4 linked regions of the Lepisosteus oculatus genome follow. Each later gene encodes a partner of the first gene's protein in a complex. Links are inferred from orthologs where the notes say so. Each region holds a gene or a part of one and is shown on either strand. Other genes may lie near its edges.

Region 1 (7,676 bases):
TTCCTAATGCAAGAAATTGTATAGGGCTAATAAAGTGATCTTATCTTAAATAAGAAGAGGTCATTCAACCTATCTTGCCCATCTGGTTGCTGGGAAACTCCTCGCTCAAAGATCTCATTTTATGGAATGCACTTCACTGCAATACCCTCAGGTCTGATAAGAAAAAAACAAATTCTTTACCTTTTCATTGTAGTTGATTGCAATGACATCACCAGTCGTGAGGCAAGCGAAGTTCCTCAGGGCATTTTCTAACCTATAGAAGTGGAAGTGTCGTGAAGGAAACATGAATGGCGGAAAAATAACTTAAGAGGAACAAGCAATAGGTTTATTCCCTGCTGAAAAGAGAAGAAAGAAAACACAACGTTTCGGCCGTGGAGCCTTCTTCGGGTGTGAGATCTCTCTGGGAAGAGATCTTATCCCAAACTGCCAATTCTTGAAGGTTCAGGAAGTCTAGAACTGCTCCACGATTCAAAAGCCGAGTCCATAGCTGTCCACAGGAATAATTACAGCAATGTTGTCTGAATAAGAACAGATCACTTCATTTGGCCATATACAATTTCTTGTATCAGGAATTTGTCTTTTTGCAGACCCCAGCTTACTTTCCATGAGACACTTTGACAGGGAGGGAGAAGCTGGGGGTCAGAGCGCAGGGTCAGCCATTTATACAGCTCAATGGAGTAGGATTCCTCTCCCGGTTGCGGGATTTGAACCGGCAACCTCCCAGCCACAGGCGCAGATCCTTAGCCAGAGTGCCACCGCTCCGCCCAAGGAATGAATTGCCTGTCATCTTATCCAAAGGTATTTGCTCTGTAGGAATATTCTGTGGAATTACTCCTGTGGAAAGCGTTGTCATTTTAAGTAGGATCTTTCTCCAGGCCTTAGTGGTACTTGAACCCATGTCTGAAACTGGAAGGATACACTGCTTTGGGGTTGGTGATGTCGAGGAAGTCTGGGCTCTGGGGTTGGAACTTTGAGTACGTTGCGACCATGAGATTCACACTCTCCACCTGGACCAGACCTCCTTCCTCCAGCAAAAGATTCTGCATCATCTGAAGGAAAACAGGCCAAGCAGACAAATAAGTGAGGGCAGGAAAGGCAACCAAGTCAGCAGCTTTCATTGAATCAATCACCCAGCTCTTACTGCCTGGGCACAATCAATGTTCACTGTAACCATGCAACATGAAGCAGTTCTCGGGGCTTTATAAATAAAAGTATGCAAGTGTATGCTCTTTTACTCCAATTGCCAGATCGACAATAAAACCAACCCCTTTTACTTTAACAGACATTTTATAAACGTTCACCTACAGTTTTTTACTTTCAATACCCGAGTAAAAACATGAGAAAGGTTACAAATAAGAAAAAGCAGTGGAGCTGATCCAGCCTCTAGATTTCATCACTGACTGATCTGAGGATCTCCACCAGCTCTTTCAGAAAAGAACCCTCAGCAATAGCTCATGCAAACATGTCTCTCACATTGTTTGTTATGTCACATGACATAAAAAGACTTTCAATTCACACAATAAAAGCTATTAACAATACTATTTAATACAGATGATTTTAAAGCGGAATATATTTTTTCAGCTTTACCAAACAGAAATAGCTTTACCAAAGCAAAGTTACATATTTTATTAAAACATTTTAAGAAGGGGACACTCACCCAGTGAGGCAAGTAACAGATTCCTTCGTCCGCGACAAACTCCAGCACTCCGCAGTGCGTCATGCGGTCCGAGTTCTTATTAGTCAGCTTGAACAGCATTGGATAGGTGATGTTGAGACGACCTGAAGGAAGACTCGAGTTAAACTGTGCGTGCCCGACAAAGCAAGGCTCTTACGGATCTGTTTTCCAGACGAAACTGCTAGTTCTTCATTACCAACACAGACGCACATGGCAAACACAGAACATATTTTTATATATTACATATTTTGTCACTGGCGTACTTACTGAGCTGGTCCAGCGCAGATGGAGGCATTATAACTAGAACAAAAAAAGAACAACAAAAGCTTAGCATTGCTGAAATACATTTCTTTTACTATGCTACATTATGACATAATAAGGAACAGGTAAACGTTTTTTTCCTCGCTGAAAAGAAAAAAGTGAGACAAAGTTTTGGCTGTGGAGCCTTCTTCAGCTGAGGAAGAAGAAGGCTCCACAGGCAAAACGTTCTTTTTGCAGCAGGGAATAAACCTTTACCTGTTCCTTTGCAGCCTAAGCATCCTGCTGCAGCTCCCTACCTGAACTTATGACATAATGTCATATACTGTATCACATTTATATTATGCTATGTTCTGTGGCAAGATGTTACAGTGCAGTACAGCTGCTCAGCAAGCCTGTCAGAAACTGAGCTTTTCACCCTATTGGCGTTCTAAATGGGTGGCATCAAGCCAGCTGCCCAGACCCCACGCTGAGGACCGGGCGACATCTCAGGAGACCCAGCAAAGCCTCCCCTGCTCTTACTTTTCCCTCCTTTCTCGACGTCGGAGCGGTCGTTGGGCCCGGCCAGCATGGAGACGGAGTAGCAGCGGTACTGTGTGGAGAACCGGTTCTGGAAGGCCCGTGGAATCGGGTGGTCAAACATATTGAAGGAAAACTGAAATGAGAGGACAGAACGATCAGCCCCCAGAAAACAACAACGAAGGTTTCATCTCAATAGGTGTGGAGACAGCTGGTTGTACAGGTATACAGCGTGGTTCCACTCACACTTCTCTGACCAATCTGAAATCAACTTCAGCTCCAAATACTACTTTCAGAGATTCCATTCAGATCTAAAATATTTTCGCAGAGACCTGGACTGTCATTGGAGCTCCTGTCTTTTATTATAATAATAATAATAATAATAATAATAATAATAATAATAATAATAACTGCTTACACTTATATAGCGCTTTTCTGGACACTCCACTCAAAGGTCTTTACAGGTAACGGGGATCCCCTCCACCACCACCAGTGTGCAGCCCCACCTGGATGATGCACCAGTCCGCTCCCCACACATCAGCACTCAGTGGGGAGCAGAGCAGAGTAATGAAGCCAATTCAGAGATGGGGATTATTAGGAGGCCATGACTGGTAGGGGCCAATGGGAAATTTGGCCAGGATGCCAGGATTACACCCCTACTCTTTTCGAGAAACACCCTGGGATTTTTAATGACCACAGAGAGTCAGGACCTCGGTTTTACGTCTCATCCGAAGGAGAGCGCCTGTTAACAGTATAGTGTCCCCGTCACTATACTGGGGCATTAGGACCCACATGGACCGCAGGGTGAGCGCCCCCTGCTGGCCCCACTAACACCTCTTCCAGCAGCAACCTGTTGTGAGTTGCAGAGTGATATAGCTGCAGGCCATTTTACAGCCTATTGCCATTACAAATACAGGCACCCTGGTGTTGTTCTGCTCTCGCACAAAAAGCACAACTTTCAGACCTGGACCATGTGGGAGAATGTCAGGTCCTTCGTCAGGAAATGTGATTTATATAAAAGGAGCAGCATACTGGCTACTGCTTTTCCTGCTGACATCCCAGATCAAGGATGTCCAGTTATGGCTCTGGAGATCTACCCAGACGTCTGGTTTTCAGTCTAGAAACCAGGTTTCTTGACTGAGTTCATAACTGGCTTGATCAGTAATCAGGCTCTGTTGACTGAAACTCCGGGCTCTACAACTGGGGCAGGAGCACTCGATTTGCCTCTGCTTCTCCCCACCATCAGGTAAAAGGGCACCAGAGTTTTGCCCCCGTTTATAACCGCTCTTGGGGTGGTATCTCCCCGCAGGCCCGAGCAGCCCTCCCGACCTATTTTTTTGGTCGTCAAAAGCACGAAGTCAGTCCCTGGCAGATTGATGTCAACTTTCTGTTGCTGCTCAGGGTCTCCAAAAACCTTTATTCCATTCCGCCGCGGGTGCAACCCAAACACTGCTGTTCTCATTTACGTGCAGACAGAGAGGATGACACCTATCTTGATATTTACACCTACGCCACAACGCACAGGGCGGAACGTCGCTCGAAGAAGAGTGGTCTTTCCAGTGTTTACATCTTTATGTGAACTTGAGAAAATAAACTCGTCTTCAGACGTCTGCTGTCATCACGACGCCTGGTTTATTAACAAATCTGTCCACATCTCGGGAACTTGTAACAGTGACGGTGCATCTTTCTTTCTGTACAGCTCTGGCGCTGTAGTTCAATATGCGACGTATTAAACACAAAACCACCAATCCTTCTGTACTTACCATGATGAACTCTTACTCTTTAGGGTACGATGTTTAATGAAAACAAATGGTTTCAACCAAAGAAGAATAAAGTGAACCTACAATCGACCATCTCCTAATAGCAGAAGATTATTAAGAGGAGTTTGTTCCGTAACCGGGAAGTAAATAGTCGCCAAGGGAAGTGACCCGAGGAGAAACAACAACCAATCCCCACGTCGTTTCCAAAGTCAATAACCAATCATTTAACAGTACACCGCCTCTACGTAAGTGATTGGTCTAAAGTTTTGTTTTGACGTGACGTCACACCAATCCGCGTAAAATTCTATGGCGCATCGTCTACCTGTGGTGGCGAACCATTGGCTTGTTCCAATAACCTATCAGCGACGAGTAGCTGAAGGATCTTAACTCTGATTGGCTAGATCGATCTGTTACAAGCCAATAGGAAACAGGAGTCCATCAAACTGATTTGGCGCCAGGTTTTTAACAAGGAACGGAAGATTCTGTATCTCTGAAGGAGTTGGTGTATTTTAAATCAATTTATACGTTTGTACGAGTTATTTTTTAATTTATTTAAAAGGTCATTTTTATTTTTTTTTATTCCTAGTCGTCGATAGAAAGGGGTTTGGAAATGTTCGTGTCTGATATTCGGAAGGAGTTCTACGATGTTGTTGTGAATCAGGTAAAAAGATCCCTTTGTGTCGTAGTGCTCAATTATCGAAGAGAGACTATTAAACGTGAGGGTTTCGTTTTAACGCGGTGTATTGTAACGAATTCGAGAGGTATTAAGGGTATTAGTGCCAGTTAATGGTCTTCAGGAGTTCCATATTTATACTTGGGTGTTTTAGCAGACGTTGGATACTTAGTTTGCCTGTTTTTTCAGGGGTTGTCATAACTCGCCCAAAGAAAAACAATGTTGCACTATCTTTTTAGGGCGGCAGTTTAAACAGGCGACCGAGAGGGCGATTTATTTTTCTATTTTAATAGAAGGAAGGTGTTTGGTGTTATTTACCTTCGTGTTCCGTGTGAGTGTTTACATATGACATCTGTAGGTGTTAATAAAATATCGTCGCTTCATGCGAAGATGTGTTCTGTAATTGTCTTTATATTTTATTGTTGTTTTTCCTTTTTCAAGTGTTTTGTCTTCTGTGTTAGATCAGTGCCTGGCCCATGATCAGGTCGACGTTGGCAAAGTCAATCCGTCATCAAGCTGACTTGCTACAGAGCATTATTCTTCCATTATATACAGTGCATAGAAACTTAATGACAGGTGTAGCCTTGTATTTCCTCAATATAGTGAAGAATAGGAGGTCTAGGTTCTTTATTCGGGGCCCACACCAGGCCGGCCCGAAGAAAGCCGCATCCTCAGCTCAGCTCGGCCACAGATTTAATATTTTTTCTCTGTTTTTCCCCCCACCCGTGATCCTCTCCCTCCCTGTTTCTCCAGAGGGTCGCTCTCCTGGTCTCCTCGGACATTGACGCGCTGTGCGCCTGTAAAATACTGCAGGTGCGTATTTAAGAGTGCAGGAGCGTTCTCTGAGAAGTGTCCTCTACAAGGTGTTTTTGTAGACGTTATCCTCTTTAGAGCCTGTTTGAGAACCATATAGGGGAGAAAGAGTCCTTCGTCAGGAAACGTGCTTTATATAAAAGTTGCTGCATACTGGCTACTGCTTTTCCTGCTGACATCCCAGATCAAGGATGTCCAGTTATGGCTCTGGAGATCTATGATCTAGAGATCTGGCAGTCCATGCTCTAATAATGCGTTCTGAGTGCACCTGTGCGAAATCGGATTCAAAGCCCAGGGAAAGAAAGGCGAGATCCAAGAGTATCAATTTAGCTCATCTTTATTAAAGCAGTGTGGCGCAGTAATTGGGTACTGTAACACTGAACTTTGCAAGTCTGATCTCTTTCACTTGAGAAGCACGGAGGCCGTAGGTCAGTTGTTATCACGCAAGCGTGCACAGGGATGTGCTAGTCCTCACAGAGTGAGCCATTAACTGTTGATAACGGGCCAGGACAGCTGGAAACCCAAGAGTCTCCTTGGACACAAAGCGAACCGCGCTGGGCGTGAGTTACAGGTTTTGGACAAATAATGCCATGTCACCACCGTTCAATCTCAGGCTCCCAGGCTAACTCCTGAGCCAGCAGATCGCCCGCTGTAGGATCTGTGATCTGTCACTGTTGCCTTGCGGATCTTCTCGAAATGCAAATAGAAGAAAGAGTCCCAGTCCATCTCCCCCAATCCTTTCCAGCATCTGACACGAACTTTCAACCCGTCAGTCTGTGTGTGAATGATAAGGACGGGTCTTTATCGACGTAATCCCTAACTGCCGATGGAGGTGTTTCATCAGTTGGGAGGTAAATTTAGTTCCCTGGTCAGTCAGACTTTGTTCAGCCTGCACGGTCACTGACTTTGGCTTTTGATGCCGTTATTGGGCAGCTGGTATCCTGCACTATTTTCTCCAAAAGTCCAGTTGTTTCCACACTGAGGATGTTTCCGTGTTGCTCAGCGGACGCTGTCAGGTCAGGAGTCGGCCGCCTCCCGTCCAGGCTGCCATCGCTGAAGACGGGATCTCCAGACGAGGCCATGTCCGGAGGACAGAGCACAGGGCGATTCGGTGCCCTGCTCGGGGGGAGACTGTAGCAACTGTGTGGCTGAGACACGGGACCTGAGTGGGGAACCTCCCAGTCACGAGGTCTTTAAAGAGAAAATGACCTGCGTGCTGTTTTTCCTTTCAGGCTCTGTTCCACTGTGACCATGTTCAGTACACGCTGGTGCCAGTCAGGGGCTGGCAGGACCTGGAGACAGCCTTTCTGGAGCACAAGGAGCAGGTCAGGATCGTGGCATAATGCTGAGTTTGTGAGGACAGGGTGGTATTTACTGTGTTCTCCTATTTTAAAAAGCGGGATGTTGAGGATCTCTCTGGTGGTAGCTGTTCCTGGATGTTTTGCACCAGAAGTTGACATTTGTAAGGGATGAATGGGAGGAAACCTGTCTATAAACTGTAATAAAACTAACAGGCTACTGCGATCCTGGGTTCGAATGTGGGTCACGTCGCCAGCCGATTCCTCAAGTAGCACATACAGTTGAGTGGGATTAGTCACCCTGTCTGTAAAACAGTGCCCCTTTCTGTCAATGAGGGATGCGTACTGTGTTTAATCCCATCTGTCTCAAAGGTGGGGAAGTGGGAGGAGTCTGCCTTGACTTCCTTATTCTCCCCCGTGTGTGGTCGCAGGATTCATAGCTGTGAGCTGAGGTCTGAAAAACGTTAGATAAAAGCATTAGCCCAAAAATACATAAAACTCCTACAGTACATTACTTTTTATCAATAACATTCATTAATGTGTTTTAAAAAGTCAGAATTTTACTGGTAGCACAGATCCTGAATCCTGATAGGAGCCCGTTCCTTGCCCAAACGCATGGGCTTTGATGTCTTGAGTTTTTCCCCTGGGGTGCTCAAGCCTCGTCTTTGTGTTGCCTCGCA
Region 2 (6,973 bases), on another chromosome or scaffold:
GCTTAAAGGACAGTTACGGGGGCAGACAAATGAAAGCTTGCAGTCTTAAGATGCACGTGTGTTCCTCTTGAAAAACATATCTGAAAATTATATTTCTTTAAACCTTCTGTAATCCCACATGCCACTTCAAATCACAGCAAGGATTCAATAAACTGTTTTTGTTTGTTTCTTATGCAAATCGGTCTTGAACAAAGAAGGTATGAGGGAACCCAACACGAGTATTCAGAATCATCAAAGGCCCGGACACACTCGGCCCAGTGGACTTCTCCAGCACAAAGAGCGAAACAAACCAGAGGCCACAGGTGCAAGATGCAGGGAAGTGCATTTAGAGGAGGAGCATCTTTACCCAAAGGATAGCGTGAGCCTGGAGCAGGCTAGCCAGCCATATGGTTGAAGATCTCCTGGCTTTTTTGAAGAAAGGGCTGGATGAGATCCTCAGATCAATCAATTACAAACTAACAAGAAGGTTAGATGGGTTGAATAATCTCCTCTCCTCTGCAACAGTTCTAATGTTCTTCACTGGGACACAAAACTCACCTTTCGCGAGCATGAGGCCAAAGTTATAGGGTGGTGGCAAAAGTAGAAACTGAATGTCCTTGGTCGACCCCACCAAAATCCTGACTTGAGTCTGACTGAAAACTTGAAGACTTGCGGTCATTCAGCCAAGCAGCTCAACCGAGGCCAAGCACATTTCCAGGGAAGAACAGCAAACACTGCAGCAGCCCAGTGTGCACAGCTGGCAGAGACTCACAGCATTCACCGAGCATCGGGACAGAGGGGGTGAGTATTCGTGAAGTCAACAGATTGTAGTCTCCAATTTTCATGGCAGTTTCTGCTGATATTTAGCTTTCATTACCCAAAATATTACGTGTATTCAAATTGTGGTGAAAAACATTCGGTTTAAAATAAACGTACATACATACTACATCAGAAAGGAATGAATACTTGAGCTTGGCACTGCATGTTGCTCAAGCAAAGAGGAAAAGCTATTTCTTTAAAGCTTCATGACCGAGTAGGAAGGGTCTTGTGTCACAGGTCGAGAGTGCAGCGATACTCACTGGTTCAACAGTAACTTGGTCAGCTCCATGTAGTATGGACTGGGCATAGGGGTGAACATCCCTACTTTCCTCTCCTGCTCCCTGATCTCTTCCAGCTTCTCTGCAGTAGAGACAAGGGCTGACACTGAACACGCTCTCTCACAGCTAACCCCCCAAACAAGGCAGACAGCATGACCAGCTGCACCATCACAGATTCATTCCAAAGCTGAACGCCACGTTAGGTTTTATGGGACACAGGCATTAGGAGCAAATTTACATCTCAAAAAAGACATAAAGCTGCATTTACACATTAATGTCTTTCAATTGAATGTGGTTTTAAAATCCCATTCTATCTCAAACTGTTCTGGTAAACACAGAGTTATAAAGTCTCCCTATTAAACTGATTAAAACAAGCAATACAGAGTTGTCCGTTGCTGAGACTAGAGATACACAATCCTCATTATTACCAATCTGTCAGAGGCAATTGTTAATTTAATTTAGACAATATCTGGACACAAGATGGATGGACTATTCAGATTTCAAATACCAGAGATCTCTTTATTATGCCAGAAGCTATATCACCCAGCAATTCACAACTGACAACCAGCTCAGCAGGGGTGAGCCTGGCCAGTACCTGGATGGGAGACTCCTGGGAAAGCTGAGGTTGCTGCTGGAAGAGGCGTTAGAGGGGCCAGTAGGGGGCGCTCACGCTGTGGTCTGTGTGGGTCCTAATGCCACAGTATAGCGACAGATGGACACTAAACTGTAAAAAGGTGCCATCCTTCAGATGAGACGTAAAACTAAGGTACAAACTCTCTGTGATTAAAAAATCCCAGTTTCTCAAAAAAGAATAGGGGTGTTACCCTGGTGTCCTGGTCAAACTTCCCCCTGGCCTTTACCAGTCATGGCCTCCTAATAACCCCCCTCTCTGAACTGGCTCCATCACTCTGCTCTCCTCCCCTCTGAGAGCTGGTGTGTGGGGAGAGTACTGGAGCACTCCGGCTGCCGTCACATCCAGCACACTGGGCTGCACACCAGTGGTGGTGGAGAAGACTATTTACCTCTAAAGCGCTTTGAGTGGAGTATCCAGAAAAGCTATAAATTGTAGGTCTAAGGAATTATTAACTGAGAATCGACTAAACACGTTAATAATAACAGATGAACTACAAGGGAAAGACATTAAGTAATAAGTGGACAGAGCAAATTAACTGCAATGCATTCTAAAGGCTAACATGTAAAGGAAACAAATACATCCAGTGGCATCTATCCATCTTTTCATAACCGGACAAATTAGCTGTTCTCACCAACATCCATCCAGTCGGGGGGCACGATTCTACACTTCTGTCTCTGCTTCAGGTTGATAGCCAGCCAGACAGGCACATCCACGGGCAGACCGGGGTTGAAAGGACCCAAGTCCCCCTACCAGGACAATAAGAACTATTGACGCTTAAAATCAAAACAATTTTACATGTCAAAATTGACAGAGCTGTGATTCGACCGTCCCAAATTCGCATTTTGATTTAAATTCACTCGCTTCAGCCCGGTTTAAAATCGCGTTCTACAAACATACGGGTTTCTTTAATCTCGATTGATTTAAAGAAGGAATCATTACATTAACTGTAGCTATTTCACGTAGTTTGTGTCTATCATTATTATTACTGTAAGCAAAAAGAATACGTAAAGAGATGTTCTGTCATTTGCTTGTCAAATGTGTATCTAACCGGACGGATACTCTACACCACAATACAGATGCATTCTTAACTACACTGCTACGCCCTTTCATTTATGTACTTACCCCAATCAAATAGACTTTGTCTAGACTGAAATTCGGAATTATGGTCACCATCTCCTTTTCAGCTAAGAACTCTACCTCTGAAGGATCCATCCGCAAGTCAGACTTTTAAATTATATTTCACCAGCTACCACAGTCTACCGACAAGTTTCCCGCGCTGAATTCTGACGATGACGCTGTGACCCGGAAGTGAAGGTTTTTACTGTCGGCAGTCACGGGGGAACCGGAAGTCCGGCTCCTGTTGTAGCAGCCCTTCGATTTCGATTATTACCCGTGGAAACTCTTAGCTATTCAAACTTATATTATGTTAATTATAGGTTACTGTGAAGTTAATCATATTTTTTTAATTATTCAGACTTACGTTTTTATCATTAATAGTCACTATTAACATAATTGTATGTTTATAACTTTTATGTTATTGAGTTTTTCAGCATCTTAGTACGTTTAATAAATATTTGTTCATCTCCGAAACAAAGTTTTGCGTCGCGTTGAAAATTATTTGAAAACCTACCTGTTATACAGCGATAATGGTGAAAACCCTTTAATCTACTCAAGTGGTAGCCTGGGCATTTCTCCTAATTGTGCCCGTCACGTCTGTAGCTTAGAGAATTGTCCAGAAAAAAAAGATGCTAACTGGCCTAATGTTAAGATAAAGAAAATCGGGAACGTTATAGTAGAACGCGGTTGCTTTTTTAGACATATTTGCCTTTTGTGCTTCATTTACAAACAGGATAAATAACCCCAGACACTACATCATCCCAGCTCAAATTATCATGTCTCACCAGCAGGACAAATCATAACATATTCCCATTTTACAAGAAATCTCTTGTTAAAGGTGCACCGATGACTGTGCCTTGTCACGCTGGAAAGTTGTCAGGGTGACCTATAGCAAGGGACCCAAATTATGTTCCCAGGCTTGATCAGTGTAGAGCTGTGTAGTAAGACTTCCATCTCTCGCTTCAAGAGTTCTGTAGCAGCTAAAGGAGAGCTACCAGCTCCTTAAATGCTAATTAACCAGTTATTTAAAAAAGGAGCTGCTTGTAGCAATATTTTGGAAAGGACATTTTTGTTATAAATGATCTCTGTATTATTTAATTGAACACCACCTTTTTAATTGATCATAATTAACTTTTTCCAGGCCTTTAGAAATGGATTAATTAAATACTACTGATAAAGCCTGCTGGAATGTGGCTCTCTGGCTCTCCAGACCAATGGTTAGGGATTTCTGGCTAGATCATCAGACTTGGACTGCCCTATCAATACTAACAAGGCTTCCTGGCTCAGTGTCTTGGCCTGCATTTGACAGGCTGTTTGGCTGTATTGTCTTGTCAGACTAGAAGTTACTGGATGGTAAGCAACAGTTCACTTATTCCAGTCTTTTTTATTATTATTATTATTATTAAGGTTTTGTTCTCTTAATGTGTGGAGTATATTAGTAACTTTCTGTGACTTTCTTAATTACTTCATTACCTGTACCTAATTGGTTCACCTCACTGATAAGGTGATTTAGTGTAACTTGGTCAAAAGTACAGTGAATTAATCATCCATCCATCCATCTTCTAACCACCTTCTTCCAATACAGGGTCGCGGTGGAGCTGGAGCCGGTCCCAGCAAGCAATGGGCATGAGGCAGGGCACACCCTGGCAGACAGACACGCACTCACAGCAGGACCGGTGTTCCCAGGAGTCAGCTGATCTACCAGCATGTCTGGGAAAGGCATGCGAGGATGGGGGAACATACAGCTCCATGCACAGAGCACCCAGTCCCACACAGTGAGGCAGCAATGCTCCCCACTGCACTACTGTGCTGCCCACCTGGTCAAACTCAATGATGCAGAAAGCTTTTCATCTTTCTCTAAAATCCATACACTTTATTTTTCTAAAAATATACATGCATAAATAGTATATTAAAGCCAAGCGCTTTTTTGATGCTCAATGATTTTTAACATTTTAGGATTAAAAATATGCATCTTGCTTTAATTAGTAGTCTGTAATTACAGCACCTCAACAAATTACAAGGTATATCATATAAAGAAAAAATTAAAAATAACCTAGATTTTAAAAACATTTTATTAGTTCTAATTTACATTTTAAGATGACTGTGGTCTAAAACCTGATCTGGAAGATAAAACGATTGGACTTTATCAGATTTATACAGCAATTGGGAATTAAAATACCAGACTACAATACATGGGATTAACTCTGAGGTTATGAAATGCATATAAATTATAACACACAAAACTTAAACATTTTCTAAATTATTTTTAGCAAACCAATGGCTCCCAGACCATTTGAATATTGAATTGAATAACACTAAGGTTTTCAAACACAAGACTAAATATTTTATAAGGCTTCAACAACTTCAAACAGTTCAAAATCAACATCTTGTTGAGTTTTTCAGGGTCCAGAATGAATATGAATCCTATAAGATAAAAATCCTGAGCATTTCCATGCCTATTACATTTAAATGACTTTGGCAGACATACTGTACCACAAATTAGTAGACTGTCCTCATCTGCAGCTATTAGTCCAAGAAATCTGTTTTTTTTTTCATGCTGGTTATGATAACTATTGATACATACCCATACTATTTAAGGATCTTAGGAAATATTGCATTTTGAAGAGAATTGTGCATATTGTGAATTATCACTCTGGATAATAATGTTTCTTGTAGACATTCACATCAATGTGATAACATGGCTGTTCACATGTTGAGCTAAAAGCTCAGATTAAAACAAAACTTTGAACCAGCCTGCCAACTGCAAATTACACAGTTCATGATGCCAGCATTTGATTGGGGACAGGTGTGAAGTATCTGGCCAATAACTAGTTAACCGTTAAGTAGATAATGTTCACTGGCAAAACTGAAGTGATGACCTATGATGAGATGGAAGAGATGGCTTTTACAGTTTAGAGTAAATGGAGACTATCATTACTGGTAGTAAATTCCACACTTCTGTAGTTAATTTCCTTAATTACTCATTTTTCTTGTGTGTCCACAGTGATGGCCATGGACAATGCTGTCCTGTCAGGCCCCCTGTCTGAAGGCCGTTACCACAGAAAACATCCCCCATTCATTTCGCTCCACCTTTTCCTCAGCGCTGCATTCCCAAAGCCACCTCCGGAGCACACAGAATGGGAGAAGCTCCAGGAAGGTCAATAAAGAATTCTTCTAGCACAACAAAAATGTATCTAACTGTGGTGTTTTAAAATTAGCATTTAACTTGAAAGAAAAAAACAGGTTAAACAATTTCCTAAATTTAGACGAATCTGTGGTGCCAATTGCTGCAGCTACGTAATTCAGGTGAAACAGTTATGATGCTTAGGACTATAAAAATGACTGATTTTTTTAAAGAATTTGTATCAATTAAGTCTTCTAAGATAATGAAATGATGCACCAAAGATTCCACTCACGTTTCCTGGTTCTCAGTAGAAAGATCTATTTCCCTGTGGTCATGTGCTAGTCTAATAGACTAAAAAGTCAGGTCAATCTTTATATTCAAAGGAAATGGTCAAAAGCAGCATTTACATAAGTCAAAAATGACTACTTTAGTTTTCTGTATAGTCTGGTTAAAAGGTTAAAAAATGCAATGACAATTTTGATTCGGAAATACAATTTTAAACATCATACATGATGGAATTCTAACAACAAATGCTATTCCTAAACCTGGACAGGAAGCACTCAAGAATAGTTCTAGGAACAACATGACTTATACACACTAGGAAATCTAATTTACAGGCAAGGCTATCAAATAAAAAAAAATTAATTGTAAATTGTAATTTCAGGAATACAATTAGTCTACCTCTTGTCTTAATCATCTGAATCTGCACATTACCGGAATAACCATTTTTAATTAATTAATCCCTTCAATATAGTCTTTTAACTATTAATTACTAATGCCACTGCAGTACAGCAGTAGTGTTGCACCCGAACAGCAGTACATCACAAGTTTACACAGAAACAGCCATGAGAAACTACGACTCACCACGCCCGTGATTCCACATACACAGCTGTCTGAAGGATACCTGTTATTTCAATAGAAACCTGATTACTTTCCATCACATTAAAACTGAAGATGTGATACCGGGTACCCCTGCTTCTGGCCTCTTCTAAACACTCATTGTTTAGTCAGCGTCGCCTGTGC
Region 3 (7,218 bases), on another chromosome or scaffold:
GTGGCGCCATCTTGTGGTGGCTCTTGTGAAGTAAAATAGCCTGTAAAATTGTGAAGGCATACCTTGCACTTCTAATATACTGTATATAAATCAGTGGAAATATACAGGTGATCAAATGCAGTGCATTTAACATCACAGAAGTACAATTTCTAGAAAATGACACAGAGTGGGGTAAAATCTGTTCACAGAATATCAGTGAACTATTACACATACCTAGCATTGAGATTCTTACCCAAAACAGACAGACACTTGCTATGTAAGTGCTGGAAACCTCAGCCAAAGCCAATAAGAATGAATTGTAAAGCTTTATTCATTACAAAACTGACAGTTATTAGACTGTTGGTCTCCCACAGGCAGGCCCTGGGGACCACGGTCAGAGTACAGGCAAATGCAGTTTCTTCCCTTCGACCCATTCAGCTCTCATCCTGGCAGTTAAGGTGATGCTTATATAAACGTCTTTCTTTAACCCTGCTGCTGAAGGTTACTTCAATCATCAAGCCTTCGCTGGATCGAAGAAATAAGGTTAAAAACGAAGGAGGCATTAGAGCCCACCCTGTTCGACTGGCTGCTGGAGATCACGAGTCCAAGGGTCTCTCCTGGCTGCATCTTGAAGACTCCCAGGCAGGGCTGGGTGATTTATATCAACTCCATTTCAATTTATTTTTATGAAAAGTATTTGAATTAAAATATTTTCTGTCCCTTATACCTTCTCAGGGGATATTTAGTCGTTGGTCTGCTTTGAAATACTACGGGACCACTAGGATATTTACCTCATTTAGAATAAAATCTGATAAAAATATTTTTTTTTATCATTGACAAAAGTATTGAACCTCCCCCAGGGAGTGGCCCCCAGTAACCAGGCTCCTTCAGACACCCGCCACTCTTTGTGTACAGAGGTGCTTCCCACCTTCTGTTCTAAAGGCACACCAACAGGACCTCTTTTCAGGTCCTTGAAGGGCAGTCTTGCCCTGTAGGGCATCCCGAGGCTGCAGATTCCCCACAAAGCTGTTTTAAAATGACTAGATATCCTTTTCCTGGGAAGCATTTCAAATTTTGTTTATTCTGCAATCATGCGACGGATGTAAATTGGTCACAGGGAATAACTCAGAATAGGCAGCAGTCAGAGGACATTTTACACTGAGAGTTGTTCTGAATTATTCATCATCGTGAGTTCCATTCATTTTCAGTAACTGCTTTAAACTTGCAGATCACGCCTAACCTGGCACGTATAGGGCACAAGGCAGGAGTACACCCTGAACAGGATACCAGTCCATCACACGCCACATACAAGTACTGCATACAGTCTATTTTAGAGATGTCATTTAACCCAGACAGCATGTCTCTGGACTACGGGAGGAAACATGCACATCCACAGACAACCCAAACGAACACATGCAATACTGCAGAATGCAATTTTATCATTAAAAACAAGGATATTAAAACTGGGGCAGTATAGTGTCACACCTTCAACAATAACTGAAGTGCATAGCTCATGCAATAATGCAAATATACTCCCTGCATTAGTTACTGTTGAAAACTGCATTTCAGACACCATGGCAACATTCTCATGACTGATGCACAAGGTTATGGGTGTGTGCATGATCCCTGCCCCTTACCTGCAACACTGTCTGAGCAATGTCGGGGTTCTCCGGGCTGTCGAAGTGCAGCAGCTGGGAGCCCAGGCCATAGTAGTAGGGCCCCATCTTGTGCAGGTCCACCACGTTGGGGTCTGCGCCGAACACGGTCCTCCAGCCCTCACGGTACACCTTGGGCAGGTCCACCGCCACCACCCGGCGCTTGGAGTCGTACAGGCCCTTGGCCAGCCACAGGGGCATCTCCATCTTCGTCCCCTGGACCGGACAGACACCGGACAGATCTAGCGCTGCACACTCTCTACAGCCAGGAGCTCGGAAAACCCCCACAAACCACATTTCTCCTCAAGACTGTGGCGTGGAAATGTACAGGTCGGACAAGTATGTAAGAAGGCCTTGAAAAAGATTAAATTAAACTTCCCAAGATCTCTGTCTGAACCAATTTCAGTACCCAGCAACAATCAGTAGAATATCAATATGAAATCACCTTGTCGTAAGTTTTAAAACTCTCACTAATAAATATTCATTTCACAATCTTCCCTAGTTTATAGTTCCTATCACCTTTTCATTCGATTTCGCTTAATTTTGGTACAATGTTTCAACTCTTCCTTAAGGTGAGGATAATAAAACATAAACGTGCTTGTCAAAAATATTGACTACTAACATCTCAAAGACTCAATCCGACACAGAGCGCCAGGATCGTCCTGTAACTGACTGGCACTGAGGTCTATGTACGCGGCCGACCCCCTGCTTAAATTCTGCAAGTTCGGAGTCTCTAAATCGAGGGTCAACTGTACGAGTACATAAAAAGAAATTACAGGTGCGGGATTAAATCATGTCATTAGTACAATTTCATATGTATCTCAGTGCCAGCGCCTGATCAACATATTCAACATGTCTTGCAGCTATTTACTGTACTGCATTTACAGCATGAACAGCTCGGGCAATCATGTGCAATAAACACGGCCGATCACTGTCCTTCCCCCTCATAGAAATGTCAACACAGAGCGCTAAAACAATGCACATGGCTACAATACCGGTCAGATTTGGGTTTAAATACTGTTTTAAACGGTTTTTGTGGGATCAACGCGGTTCTCTCGCTTACCTCCTGGATGTCCCCGGTGTCGCCGGACTTCTCCAGGAAGCCCAGCCGGGGGAAGGCGGTTTCAGTCCGGCACGGCAGCTTCTCTTGAGAAAGGAGAATGTCGTCGAGCGAAAGAAAATTATCTTCCATCCCCACGCCGGGCGGCACTGGCGTATAAGATTGGGTCGCCATTCCGAAGCAGTTATTTTGCAGCTTGTGAGGAAAGTCAAACTTATCAACAAACCCAAACCCCAAGACGATCTGCTTTGGCGCGGCGCTTTGAATGGGCCGCTATCCCCGCCCCCTCAGACAGCAGCAGTGGAGCTCCGAGCGCGCCGGCCGACGGATGGCTGAGACGACCTAAAGTGCAGCACTGAAGGCGTTTACAAATTCAGACTGCTGACGAGGCACGCATGTCGCAAATAATACAAGTAGTTGTTATTGTTGTTATTATTATATACCGGAAATACTATAAATTATCTCAAATTGTCCAAATATCCTTCGTCTTATACATTTTCCAACAAAAACACAACAATAATCAGCAACCAGAAGTCAGTAGCATAGCCCCCTGGCCAGGCAGCGATTCGGCTTATATTAGGTTTGTAGAAGTGCAATTATTTTACTTTGAACTCAAATAGTATGGTTGTATTTTTATGGTTTTATGTAAGTAGCCGATAAAAACTGAACTCAGCGACCAGTGTACGTTTTTTTAGATATTCCATTGCATTTAAGATGCATGTAAGAAACTTAAAACTTCAGAAAGAATACAAGATATCGGAAAGTGGCCGCAGAGAGTTCTGCACTTTGAATTGCATTCTGGGAAATAGATGAAGCTTTCAGACCAGTACATTCTGTGACTACCAGGCCAGTAATAGTCAAGATTATTTCATTTTTTCCTCCAAGGCACAATAAACCCTCCAGCAACAGGAGGCTGGACATGTCCTCTCTTGTCACGGAACCACACAGGCACCTTTTCTTTCAGATCAAGGGGAGGACCCTTTCTTCTGCACCCCAATAAATAGGACATTCTGGTGCTGGGGGGTGCTATCTGTTCGTATTTTCTCTCTATGTTCGCATAGATTTCCTCTGGCTGACCTAGACTCCTCCCACAGTCCAGTAAATTAATTTGCATCTTGGTAACTTGGAGCTGGTGAGAGTGTGCGTGTGCCTTGCAGTGGACTTGCCTTAAAAAATGAAAGGATGGAGTGATTCCCTTGTAAGGCCCCTTTTAAGGCTGTGTTTAATATGTGGTGTAACTCTAACATCCCTTTTTATGACAAATACGGAGCAATTCGGAACAGCACACACAAGGCGCCTGACCGCCCCTGTTGACGAACTGTTGTTGTTAAAGTGCTCTGCACTACACCTCACTGTTTCAGTGCCTTCAGTACAGGCTACCCAATCTCTCTAATTTATAAATAAACAGCCACAGCCATTCCAGCAATCTGAAGAATGGCGCCTGTACAAGTATGGATGTCTTTACACTGAGAGGGTCTTCACTGTGATTGCTGGACAGAGGCTAGAATCACGTTGAAGATTTCCAATTAAGGTGCCGGGAACCACGCTGGAGAAACATCTTTTAGGTAGATTTATTTCCGCTGTTTAGCACGGTCTTGCAGGACATTTTATCCTTGCACAAGCTGCACGTGCCCAGCAGTAAAATGATTGAATGAGTAAAGTAGGAACAGACCACGGCCTAGCTTTTATGGCAGAACTGCACAAGAACAATCACACATTTAAATGACCAAAATTCTTCCTCCCCTCCTGTTTCTGTTAAACATTATTGCTATATGATTCATTGAGTTTCAGCACTTTACAGAAACATAACCTTGTTTGTTTCTGCCACATGAGCTGTCCACATCTTGTCACGAAAGGCCTTCAATGGCTTTGTATTGTCCCGTGTGATCTTCCTTGCTGTGGTGCAGAAAGGTGCCAAGCATTAGCTTGAAAAATACAAAGTACCTCCTTATTCTAGAATGTATGCAGAAATCTGTTAGAACTTGTAGCTCTTATATACATGTCTGCCATTCATAGATCCACTTTGTGCTACACAGATCAGACCCTCACTGTTGCCTGTCACAACACAAACAAATGTAAATAGAGAATTATGGTTCAAATTAGATCTAAAGCTACAATACCACTGGATGTAGTTTTGTGCAGTCTCCAGATTACATGCATACTCTACAGCCACAGTACCTATGATATCTGTCTATAAAAGAACTAATAGCTGTAGTTGCAGGTTTGTCCACTGTGAGGCTCTGTTTTGCAGGGATTGGTGTACGTATTGCAATTGCTTATAAGTGGTAATGGGGTACTTTTATACCCTTTCAAGTGGTGACAATGTTGCTAGTTTCCCTTCTGACAAGGTCTGCAATGGTACAGAAATAAACAGAAAGGAAATGCACAATATAAAAGACTACTGAAGTTTCAAAAACATCAAAGTTAATGAACTAATGCAGAAAGCCATGAGTGTTTTTGCATATTGATGTAAGTATCTTCTTAATGTTAATACAATAGGTCTTTGTGGTGCTGTAAGTATTTTTAATTCAATGTTACTTCCTTACATAATGTTGTTTGTCCTACACTACTCTCTTGTTTCCCCATTGATTTTTTGTCTGTGCTGTGGTATTTCTTAAAAGCACAGAAAAACAATACGATACTGGTGAAGTACTCTATAGCCCCATTACATAACAGTACTAATACAAGACAGCAGTGAAGCACAACACCAATACATCACTGCATTAATGAAACACAGCACAGATAAAGCACAAAACCGATTCAGCACCTCACCAATAAAGTCCAGCACCAACACAGCACTGATACAAAACAGCACTGATAAAATTCAGCACTGCTACTGCACAGTATCACTTCAATACAGCACAGTACTGGTAAAAAACAGCACTGACAACATAAAGCACAGATACAGCCCAGCCCTGATGCAGTGCTGATGCTGCACAGCAAAACTACAATACAGCACAGCAGCCAGTGGGTCAGCAAGTGATCAGTCGGAGATAATTTGCGACTGTGTTAATGACAGCTGGGCCATAGAAGTATGATTATACTCCCACACCCCTGACACTCACACTAAGTGTCCACTGAGGAAGTGGTCTGAGGCCCAAGCTAGGGAGGAGGAGGGGCTACCATGGAACAGGGGGTGTTCTTGACCGATATTCCTAGTTTAATTGGGGGTGGGCTATTTCCAGAACTTGAAAAATGCGAGGAACTGGGATCAGGCTGTTTACCAGGGGGTTTGCGTGTGAGATATTAATTGGATACAGATGTTGCCTCCTGGGTAAAGCATGGGTATGGTTTGTTCAGATAGCCAAGGCTGGTCGCCTTTGCCACCTGTGCTCCGGTTAAGCCATAATTATCAAGGTGATCTTCAGTACCTGGGATAATTAAACAATTTGGAATCCATTTGTAGACAATTCATTGGAAATTTTAAAAGTCCTGCAATTGTCTGGATAGGATGTACCAGGGTTGCTTGCTCTCATATAATGTAGGCTGTAGGTACATTTGTACACACTTTCTTAAGTCAATTTTAGTTGTAACAGCAGTTGTGTTTTACATTTGTACTTGCTGGACAGCGTAATCACAGACTGGAAAAAGCATATAAAATGATTTTAAACTGCCCACAAGAAAGAGATGTGAAATCTGGATATTTACTGTGTGGAAACATTAAAAGGTAAAGACTGTGAAGCATATGTATTTCCTTACAGAGTTACAGTGCTTTTCATTTGAATTACTATTTGCACTTTTTTGCACCTAGTAAAACATGGGGTGAACCTGTTATCCTTGAAGGATTGTCCTTGAACCAGGTCTCTCCCAGTCCCAGGCCTGGCAAAGCAGTATGTTCAAATAACAAAAAACAGTGATTATGTTTATAAACTATATATCCTCAAAGGGTTTTTGATGGATTCTTGGAAAGAACTATGAGGTCGTTTAAGGCGTCCTGATCTCGGGTTCACATAAATGATTCGTCAATTATTTTTAGAACTAAGATTTCGCAATACGAGACGCGTTGGATACTGGCGTCACTCCAAAATCCCTCCACGATTTTGGAGATCCGTTTTCAGAAACTATCGTCTGTGTACGTCTTGCGGCGAATAGGATCCTCGGTCCTCTTCCTGACTCCCCCCACCGCGCCAAAACTCTTAGCTGTGAAGTCGTTACCAGACGCAGAGCAGACGGCTGTTAGCGGATGCCCAGCAGTGACACGGTTAAGCGTCTGCCTTTTCTATCTCCACGCTTTTAATCCGCGTATGCGCAGTGAGCGCTTCTATTGTCTCCGACCAGCAATGTAAGGAGAAGCTCGGGGACCTTGCGAGCATGAGAGCGGAGGGGAGCGGCACACACTGACCCGACAGCGGGGGCATAAAATAAATCTGAGACCGATACACGCTGTAGCAGGGGAGCAGGGATACCGACTGCTGCGGTTGTCATGGTTCGCTGAACTGAGCAACACTTGTGAAAAAGGGGAAAATCCTGCTGCTTTTCTGAGTTTTTCCCCCCCTGCTTTTTGGGTGGCGGAGGCTGTTTATT
Region 4 (7,536 bases), on another chromosome or scaffold:
TTACATTAAACTACAGGGCTGGGCAGCTGTGTCTGTGTCCCGTTCAGCTGTAGGACTGTGAAAATGCCAGAGGCGTTCGGGTGACCGTGCTTGACGTGACGTTAGTGAAGCAACAGCTGTTGCACGAACTCCGTGTCGTGGCCGTGGGCTCCGCAGCGGCTCCCGGCTGCGACCCGGATGGAACTCGGAGACAAAGAGTTCAGCGCGAGGCGCACATGGCCGCGGGGGGAGGGGCGACCTTTAACCCCGGCGGACGCAGCGGACGGGCCCGCTGGGTTGCGGGAAGTGCCGACGGCCGGGCCTACGCGTTATACGGATGCCGGTCGTGGGCGATGTGTCCGTTTTCGTTTCCTTCTCGCCAGTTTGCGGAGCGTTCTCGAAAGGGCGCCTGTAGGTCCTGTGATGGCTTCCTGTCCCGTCCCGTCCTGCTTGTACCCTGCACTGCTGAAGCCAGGCGGGACAGCACGTTCAGAGAGATGGGCTTTGTACAGGATGGGCCGCTGGCTGTGCAGTGTGCGCTCCAGGCAGCTGTGCTTCCTATTCCGGAGACTAGGAAGACAGAGACTCTTGCATCTTGAACAGGAAGTTTCAGTTCCTGCCTTCAGCATAGCTACAGCACAGCTCCTTGCCCAGCTGGTCGGTCTGTTTCAGATGCTGAAGGCGTGGCACAGGAACTTGCTGATTACAGCTCCGGTGTCCCAGGTTCGATTCTGGTTTGTTGGGGCCTGTCTGTGTGGACTTTGCATGTTCTGTTTAGGTTCTTGAGTGTTGGCCAGGTGCTTCAGTTTCCTTCCAGCTCCCACAGAGATCTGAGCTGTTTCACTAGATCATCTGAACCATCCCAGGGGGAGATGCCAGAGGCAGTTCGTGCTGGGGACTCCAGTACTGGCTGCAAGACTACAGAGACACAGATCTAGTTCCAGGAGGCTTTCTGATCCGAATCAGTTGGTGATGATGGATCAGATGAGCCAAAATGTCTGTTTTTACTGCCATTCCACCCATGTGAAGAAATGGGAACCAGCTTCTCCACCTGGTGCTGGGGCAAACCCCGGAGTCTGGGTGCAGCAGGTGTCTGGTCACCCTTGTGTATGGCCATGCCTGTGTTCAGAGTTGCAGCGGGGAGGCAAAGGGCAGAGTTCATATGTGAAAGGTCACAGCGTTTGGGGTGCTGCTCAGGGCCTGCTGATCGCTGGCTCGTCAGTGCCCAGTGAGGGAGAAGGTTCTGTGGCGCTGGCTCCTGGACCTTGAGCTAGCGAGGCAGCACCAATGCCGATTTGCTGGCAGAGTGGCTTTCCAGGACAGGCTTGGAGGAATTTAGATTTCGGGATTGGGAGCATTTAAGGACGGGGCTGGCTTTGGAACTCTCTGACCTGTCACCTATCATAGGCTGTGCTGTGTGTGAGCTGATAGTACTGATGTCAATGTAATGAATGAGGACCTGTTGGAAACGCCCCCCTGTCAGATCATGGGCCAACCCAGTCAGGCTCCGCTAGTGTTCTGTCCCGGGTTCAAACCAGCAACATCCAGGCCACAGGCCTCATCCTGTGTTTCAAGGATCCTGCTTGTTGTTTAAAAGTAATTTAACTGCTGATCTGCTCGACTCCTGCCTCAGACCAAAGGAACTGTGCAGGACGACTGAACTGTTTCAGTTGCATTACTATGCAGGGCCCTGCTCAGCCTGCTGTGGCTACTCTGCTATAGAGAGCAGAGAGCTGCGACTCTTGTTTTCGGGTGTGGGGTGTGAGACTGGGGGACAGCTGTGGGCCTGGCCTGCAAACTCATTTCGGAACGGCTCTCAGCTACAGGTGTGAACTCATTCTTGATTTGATTGTAACATTGAGCATCTCCCAGCTAAAGAGATCTGTCAGACCCGAAGGGCTCTGGACCCCTAGGCCTGCAGGAGGTACCACTGACTTAGGAGGACCCTTTAATCAGAAGAGGTAGCATACTGGGGTACCTCAAGAACAAATATTGATGCTCTGAGAAACTGAGGGTAAATGTGTTTAAAGTCAGATGTGCCCAAAAAGTATCCAAATATTTCACAAAAGGTTTGATGCATTTTTAACCTACTTTTATTTGTAGTAGAATAACAACACTTATTCTTGCACATCACTGTTGTTGATAAGATCTTTCTCTTTTTTTTCTCAGGACACGTAGTCTCGGACCCTCTCTGGTCCAGTGAGCTCAGTACATGTTTACCCAACCCAGATGAACTACAAAGTAGCTTGTATTTCATCTGAATGTATTTGCATTAACATTATTTTCACAAACTAGATCAGTCCCTTTCACATATTTACACCCAATGACGGCACCACTGAACACCACAAGCTGAGAAATCATTACTGAATCTAGATTTCATCATATGTGAAGCGAAATGGAACAGGAGATTGTGAAATTGGTCATCTTGGGAGTTCCCTTCTTCCAGATGGAAAGATTGTTTTTATAAAAGAAATCCCAGAGGGCATGTATATTGACAGTTCAGTTAATGAGGTTGTAGTCCGTTAGTGAAGTACAGTAGCCTTTTCTGGGTACAGAGCAGCAAAACATGAGTAAAATATTTAAAAAAACATTTAACTATACTGAATTACCTCAGATCTCTTCTCTTAGTTGATTAGATATTAAATAAAAAAGGACATTATTTTACAATATGTACATCTCACCAAAGTGCACATTGTTTATGGAAAAGTAAGAAAATAAGTTACATGACAATTCTTAAATTCTTATTCAGGACACCTCAAGTCAAGGTTGTTGGCTGAAGCTGTATGGGATTATTGAAAGTCATAAAACAGGACATCATTTTCTTTCAGTGGGTAGCTGCGTCAGCATGCGTAGGCTGCAAAGGAACAAGTAATAGGTTTATTCCATGCTGAAAAAAAGAAGAAAGAGAACACAACGTTTCGGCCGAAACGTTCTGTTCTCTTTCTTCTTTTTTTCGGCATGGAATAAACCTATTACTTGTTCCTTTGCATCATTTCCTTTACTCTAGGATACATTTGCATGAATAGCTGAAAACTGTGTACATTATTGAACCTTGCAAACGATCATTATGCGTTCCTCCTATTGCTATATCCAGTTTTTGTAAAAGCTAAACGGCAGAATTCTTTCCCAAGCCTGCGTACAGCGAACACAAGAGCTCCGTGTGTTTTCCTTGTTGAGAGAGTTTGTTCGCTTCACTTCATTGTGTCGCACTCGGCTCCGGTTTCCACTCTCCTGCTTTCGGTTTCTGCGCGACTGAGCCCTCTCCCGTCTCCAGCCGCTTGGCTCGACTCGTCTTGCCTGCCTGACGGACCTGAGAGACCGAGCGAATCGACCTTCCGAACCATCTACACGGGTACATCTGCGGGTGGGGGGGGGGTGCCGCCCTGCGCCTTGCTGGGGTTCGGGACAGGTGACGGGGTGGAGGCAGGCTTCTCCAGGCCCTGCCCAGGCTGAAGGCTGCCTCCTCACTACGGCTCTCCGCTTCACTGGCAGCTGCAGCTGGGTAGACTGGGAGACCCCAGCACAGGTACTCTGTGACCCCTCTTCCAGTTGTTTCAGGTGATTAGACCAAGTTTTCAGCTCGGAGCTTTGTAATGTCCCTGCCTTGAGAGCGAGCATTCCTGGTGCTGGAGGCAGGTCTAATGTCTGAGTCTAACACCAGCGCATGTGCTGGACTGTACTCTGGGGGCTCCCTGGTCCTGGGGTCCCCCAAACCTGCAGCTGAGCTCCTTCCCCGACCCCCGGCCCACACTGGGCTCCTTCTCGGAGGCTGGAGATTTTAACCGCATTAACTTTGTTAATGGCTGGATGGCGCCTTACTGCATTTAGGAAACTTACTACGTTTAGGAATGAACCAGAAAGAAATCAAATTAAACTTTTGTTGAGTCTATTCGTTATGGGTCTCAGTTATTTAATTTAGAGTTAGGGTTAATTGGAGCTCTTGGATTTGTGCTTTATCGTCTTGGAGACCGCCTTTCAACAACCGAGTTTCTTACGCAACCTGAACGAGACTTTCGATTAGGAAGCGGAGAGATTCTGGAGACGGGTGGAGTGGGCAGGTGTGTCGTGCTCCAGCTGCCTCTCTGCAGCGGCGGGGTCGCGTCTCGGCCGCTGCTTTTGTTTCCTGGTGGAGAACCGCGCCAGGCGCGCGCGACCCCTGCTACGCGACCCCACCTCCAGGAGTCTGGCGTGCGCGCGCGCGCGCGACGCTCGAGAGCAGCTGCGCCTCTGACGTCACGCGTCGGGCTCTTTGGCGGGTGATGACGCGCTCGCTGTCGTGAAAGGCTCAGCACGCAGAGCGGCCACATCCGCCCGGAGTGGAGCAGGGGTTTGTAGTGCAGTGTGCGTGCGCGTAAGGGTGTGATTCTCCTGCGAACTTGATTTTTCTTTCCCGGATTACGTGGCGCGAAGGGTCGGGGTGAGGCGAGGGAGGCCTGAGACGCGGGGGTGGTGGTCGTGGTTGGTGTGATGTTTTCTTGGATGAAACGGGGAGCGGGCACTATTTGACGCGCGGAGGGATCGCGGAAGCCCCGCAGGGGGTGGCGAGGCCGAGCAGCCATGTGCTTCTTTGTTTACAAAAGCAGGAGTGAGGAGACGGCGGCGCGGCGTGGGGAGCAGCGCCGGGAAGGAGCCCCGAGTCGCGGCGAGAGCTCGGTGCCACGGGGCCGCCCTTGTCCCCGGCCGGCCGGCCGGCTGGGCGGGCGGAGGAAGCGCGGCGAGGGAGGTGCCGGGCAGCCGAGCTCCGTGCGGCGGCCGTGGGGTGGTTTGCGAGTTCGGCGACCGCGCTCCTGATGAAGCTGCAATGTCTGAGGTCCGCGTGTGTGTTTGTCCCGGTGTTGGTGGGCTCTCTTCCCTCCCCGATCCGAGTTCAGGCTCAGTTTTAAAGACGGAAGAACGGCCGTGGATTGGAGTTCGTGGGCGCCATGTGCGGCACTGTTTACTAGTGGACATCGACTCCCTCTCCAACAAAGAGATCAGCGCGGACACGGGTGGGGAGGTCCTCGCTGTCCCTGCGTGTGGGTGTTTTTTTTTGTTCCGCGGGCGAGCTCTGTTGAAAGCTGCCGTTGCGGGATTGTCTTTGTGAGTCTAGTTGGGCTGTTTTAAAACCGAAAGTGAAATGAACGGGTGAAAGCTGCGCGTGGGTGGCTTCTCGTGGTAAATTTCCATTGGTAGTGATGGTGGGGGTCTTCTGGAGACGCGCAGTGGAGCTTTAAGATTGTGAGGGTGTGTATCCGAGGCTTCGCTGAATTATTTCGTCCGGGGGATAATCTGAGACTCGACATTTTTTGACAGGCGGGCTGTGTTGTTGACATTTTAATTATGAATAAATACTGTTTAAACTAGTGTTTATGTTGCCTGCTCAATGCACGGCGCCGTTCAAGTTTGTACTACTCTAGAGTAGTTAACAGGCAGTCTTGTAACTTTTCTGTGGACTTGTTCATATGGAAACCTGCCTATGTAGATCTTATTTTCAGAAACACTTGTGCCGCGAACGCGTTGTATTTTAGTGGACATTGTAATTTGTCCACGCAGAAAACTTAAATCCAGGTCTGTGATATTAAAAAGATGTGTGACTCCACTGCATGTAGGGGATCATTTTCCGGGGCGCGCAGAGGAGCAGTCTCTTGAGTTTGTGAACTGAAGGTCCGTGATTTCGGTTCAGTGGGAGCTGGGAGCAGCGGTAGCGCTGTAGAGTGGAGTGTCACGGGGGAGGGGGAGGGGAGGTCACGTGCTCTTGGTTTTGTTTACAGCTGGAGCGGTGCGCGGATTGGCTGTCACTCAAGGCCGACTGCGCCAGCACGAGCCGCTTCCACGCGTGTACCCTGTGGCTCCTCTGCGCGGTTTTCCGATGTTGCGTTGTCAGCATGCGTTTCGCCGCCGCCGCTACTCTGTGTCGTGTGCGATAGCGGTTGTGTTTTGTGAGTTGAGAGCTGTGCTTTCGGCAGCACTGCTGTGATGAGTTTGCCTGTCTAGGCTGTCCAACTGCCCAGCATGGTGTCATGATTTAGGGAGGCCTATGTGGTTAGCATGGGCGTCCTCGAGCTGTGAATGCTGGACCCTCTCTGGAGCCAGCAGGGTTGGAATGTCAGAAAGCGATGGCACGTGAGCTCTGCCAGCCCGATCGGACAGTTCTGGGGGGCTCCTGTGCGTGGAGCCAGCGAGTGTCTGCAGTGTGGGGTGGAGAAGCCTGGCCTGCTGTGGGCTGGTCCCGTCGCCTGACACCAGATTAGTGGTCTTCAAGATTAAAGGCTTAGAAAGCTGTCCGGGGCCCTGCTGGAGGAGAGGCCGCTGGCGGCGGGGGGAGCTGGGCCTGTTCACAAGGCCTGGTCCTCTGCGTCCCTGTGGAGGACCTGTTGATCCAATAGAGGCGTTCAGAGCTGTGCCGCACGGGTGTATAGTGATGCCAGAACATGTTCGTGTGCCCCAGCTGTGTGGTGTGGCTTCAGTGTCTCTCCTTCGCACTGACCCCACTCTCTCTGTCTGCTTCTTTAACCTCTGCAGCAGTGCTGGAAAATCCCTTTTGGCTGGGACACAGGGTAACACTCTTCCAAAATTGCCCCCAAGAGTTCAGATCTGCCCCTGCCTCTAACCCACAGTTAGTTTTCCAGCCCTGAAGTCCTGCCTCTGGTGAGACAGGGTTTTCAGAAAGTACTGTGAACTTCGAATTTGAGTTGTGATGCTGTCGTGCAAGGCCTGAGGCCACGCCTGCTGCTTTCTGTTTTCAGTCCTGCCAGACAAGTGTCATGATTGCATTTAAATGCATTTTAAAGGTTGTGTCTTGTCTTCCTCCAGAGAAGTGCAGGAAGTTCCTGCAGGAGTTCTACACTGAGGATGACGCTGGGAAGAAGGTCTTCAAGTACGGCGTTCAGCTGGTGAGGGCTCGGGGCGTGGGGATGGATGTGGCCGTCCACGGCATGCTGTACAGCTAATCAGGATTAGCTGTTGGAGCGCGTGAACTGTGTCCTGTCTGCTTAGTCTGGGGCTCCCCCTACCTGCACTGGCAGCCCTGTGTCCCATCTGCTTAGGTTGGGGTTCCCCCTACTTGCACTGGAGCGTTGCCTGAGTGGAGTTGTCTCCTGTGACCTTTACGTGCTCTGCTTTGGTCATCAGAAATGTGTTTAAATTTGACAGCCGTGAGATCCACATCTTATTTACCTGGAGTTGGGGAGGAGGCAGTCCAGGGCCCCCCAGAGGCTTCCTTTCCCCAACTGGGGTTTTTTTCTCCTCTCCCCTTTGCCCATATGATCTGCAGAACTTGTTGAGTACAATTGAACTGCAGTTGAACAGTTTTTCTAATGGAGGAAGCAGCAGTGCGTTACTTCCCCTTGATCTGGAAGCATGTTCGGTGCTTGCTGTGTGGCGTGTGTTTGGAGCAGTCCTGCCTGTGCGTGCCTCAGTGCCCCCTGTCCTTTTCTCCCTCCCTCTCCAGGTGTCGGTGGCTCACAGGGAGCAGGTGTCCCTGGTGATCGACCTGGACGATGTCGGGGAGGAGGACCCTGAGCTGGTGGAGAGCGTGTGCGAGAACACGCGCCGCTACGCCGGCCTGTTTGCCGACGC

The links.
Region 2: cdc45 (region 1) and gins2 share a complex: the UniProt entries of both Homo sapiens proteins name them as parts of the CMG helicase complex. The link is inferred for Lepisosteus oculatus from reciprocal best matches to the Homo sapiens genes CDC45 and GINS2.
Region 3: cdc45 (region 1) and gins3 share a complex: the UniProt entries of both Homo sapiens proteins name them as parts of the CMG helicase complex. The link is inferred for Lepisosteus oculatus from reciprocal best matches to the Homo sapiens genes CDC45 and GINS3.
Region 4: cdc45 (region 1) and mcm7 share a complex: the UniProt entries of both Homo sapiens proteins name them as parts of the CMG helicase complex. The link is inferred for Lepisosteus oculatus from reciprocal best matches to the Homo sapiens genes CDC45 and MCM7.

What each region holds. Positions count from the first base shown.
Region 1 is NC_090717.1:1,234,193-1,241,868, reverse strand, and holds the start of cdc45 (cell division control protein 45 homolog), read left to right. Parts: upstream 1-4,671; 5' UTR 4,672-4,822; coding exon 4,823-4,873; intron 4,874-5,638; coding exon 5,639-5,698; intron 5,699-6,930; coding exon 6,931-7,023; intron 7,024-7,676. Other genes in the region: ufd1l (ubiquitin recognition factor in ER-associated degradation protein 1), read right to left, coding at 181-253, 919-1,049, 1,658-1,779, 1,943-1,975, 2,456-2,588, 4,216-4,218. UniProt on the Homo sapiens protein: Required for initiation of chromosomal DNA replication. Core component of CDC45-MCM-GINS (CMG) helicase, the molecular machine that unwinds template DNA during replication, and around which the replisome is built.
Region 2 is NC_090715.1:16,818,913-16,825,885, reverse strand, and holds the start of gins2 (DNA replication complex GINS protein PSF2), read right to left. Parts: upstream 3,002-6,973; 5' UTR 2,923-3,001; coding exon 2,833-2,922; intron 2,457-2,832; coding exon 2,342-2,456; intron 1,159-2,341; coding exon 1,059-1,158; intron 1-1,058. UniProt on the Homo sapiens protein: Required for correct functioning of the GINS complex, a complex that plays an essential role in the initiation of DNA replication, and progression of DNA replication forks.
Region 3 is NC_090715.1:12,071,777-12,078,994, forward strand, and holds the start of gins3 (DNA replication complex GINS protein PSF3), read right to left. Parts: upstream 3,003-7,218; 5' UTR 2,869-3,002; coding exon 2,698-2,868; intron 1,851-2,697; coding exon 1,617-1,850; intron 1-1,616. UniProt on the Homo sapiens protein: Required for correct functioning of the GINS complex, a complex that plays an essential role in the initiation of DNA replication, and progression of DNA replication forks.
Region 4 is NC_090698.1:12,412,662-12,420,197, forward strand, and holds the start of mcm7 (DNA replication licensing factor MCM7), read left to right. Parts: upstream 1-4,517; 5' UTR 4,518-4,780; coding exon 4,781-4,967; intron 4,968-6,771; coding exon 6,772-6,851; intron 6,852-7,408; coding exon 7,409-7,536. UniProt on the Homo sapiens protein: Acts as a component of the MCM2-7 complex (MCM complex) which is the replicative helicase essential for 'once per cell cycle' DNA replication initiation and elongation in eukaryotic cells.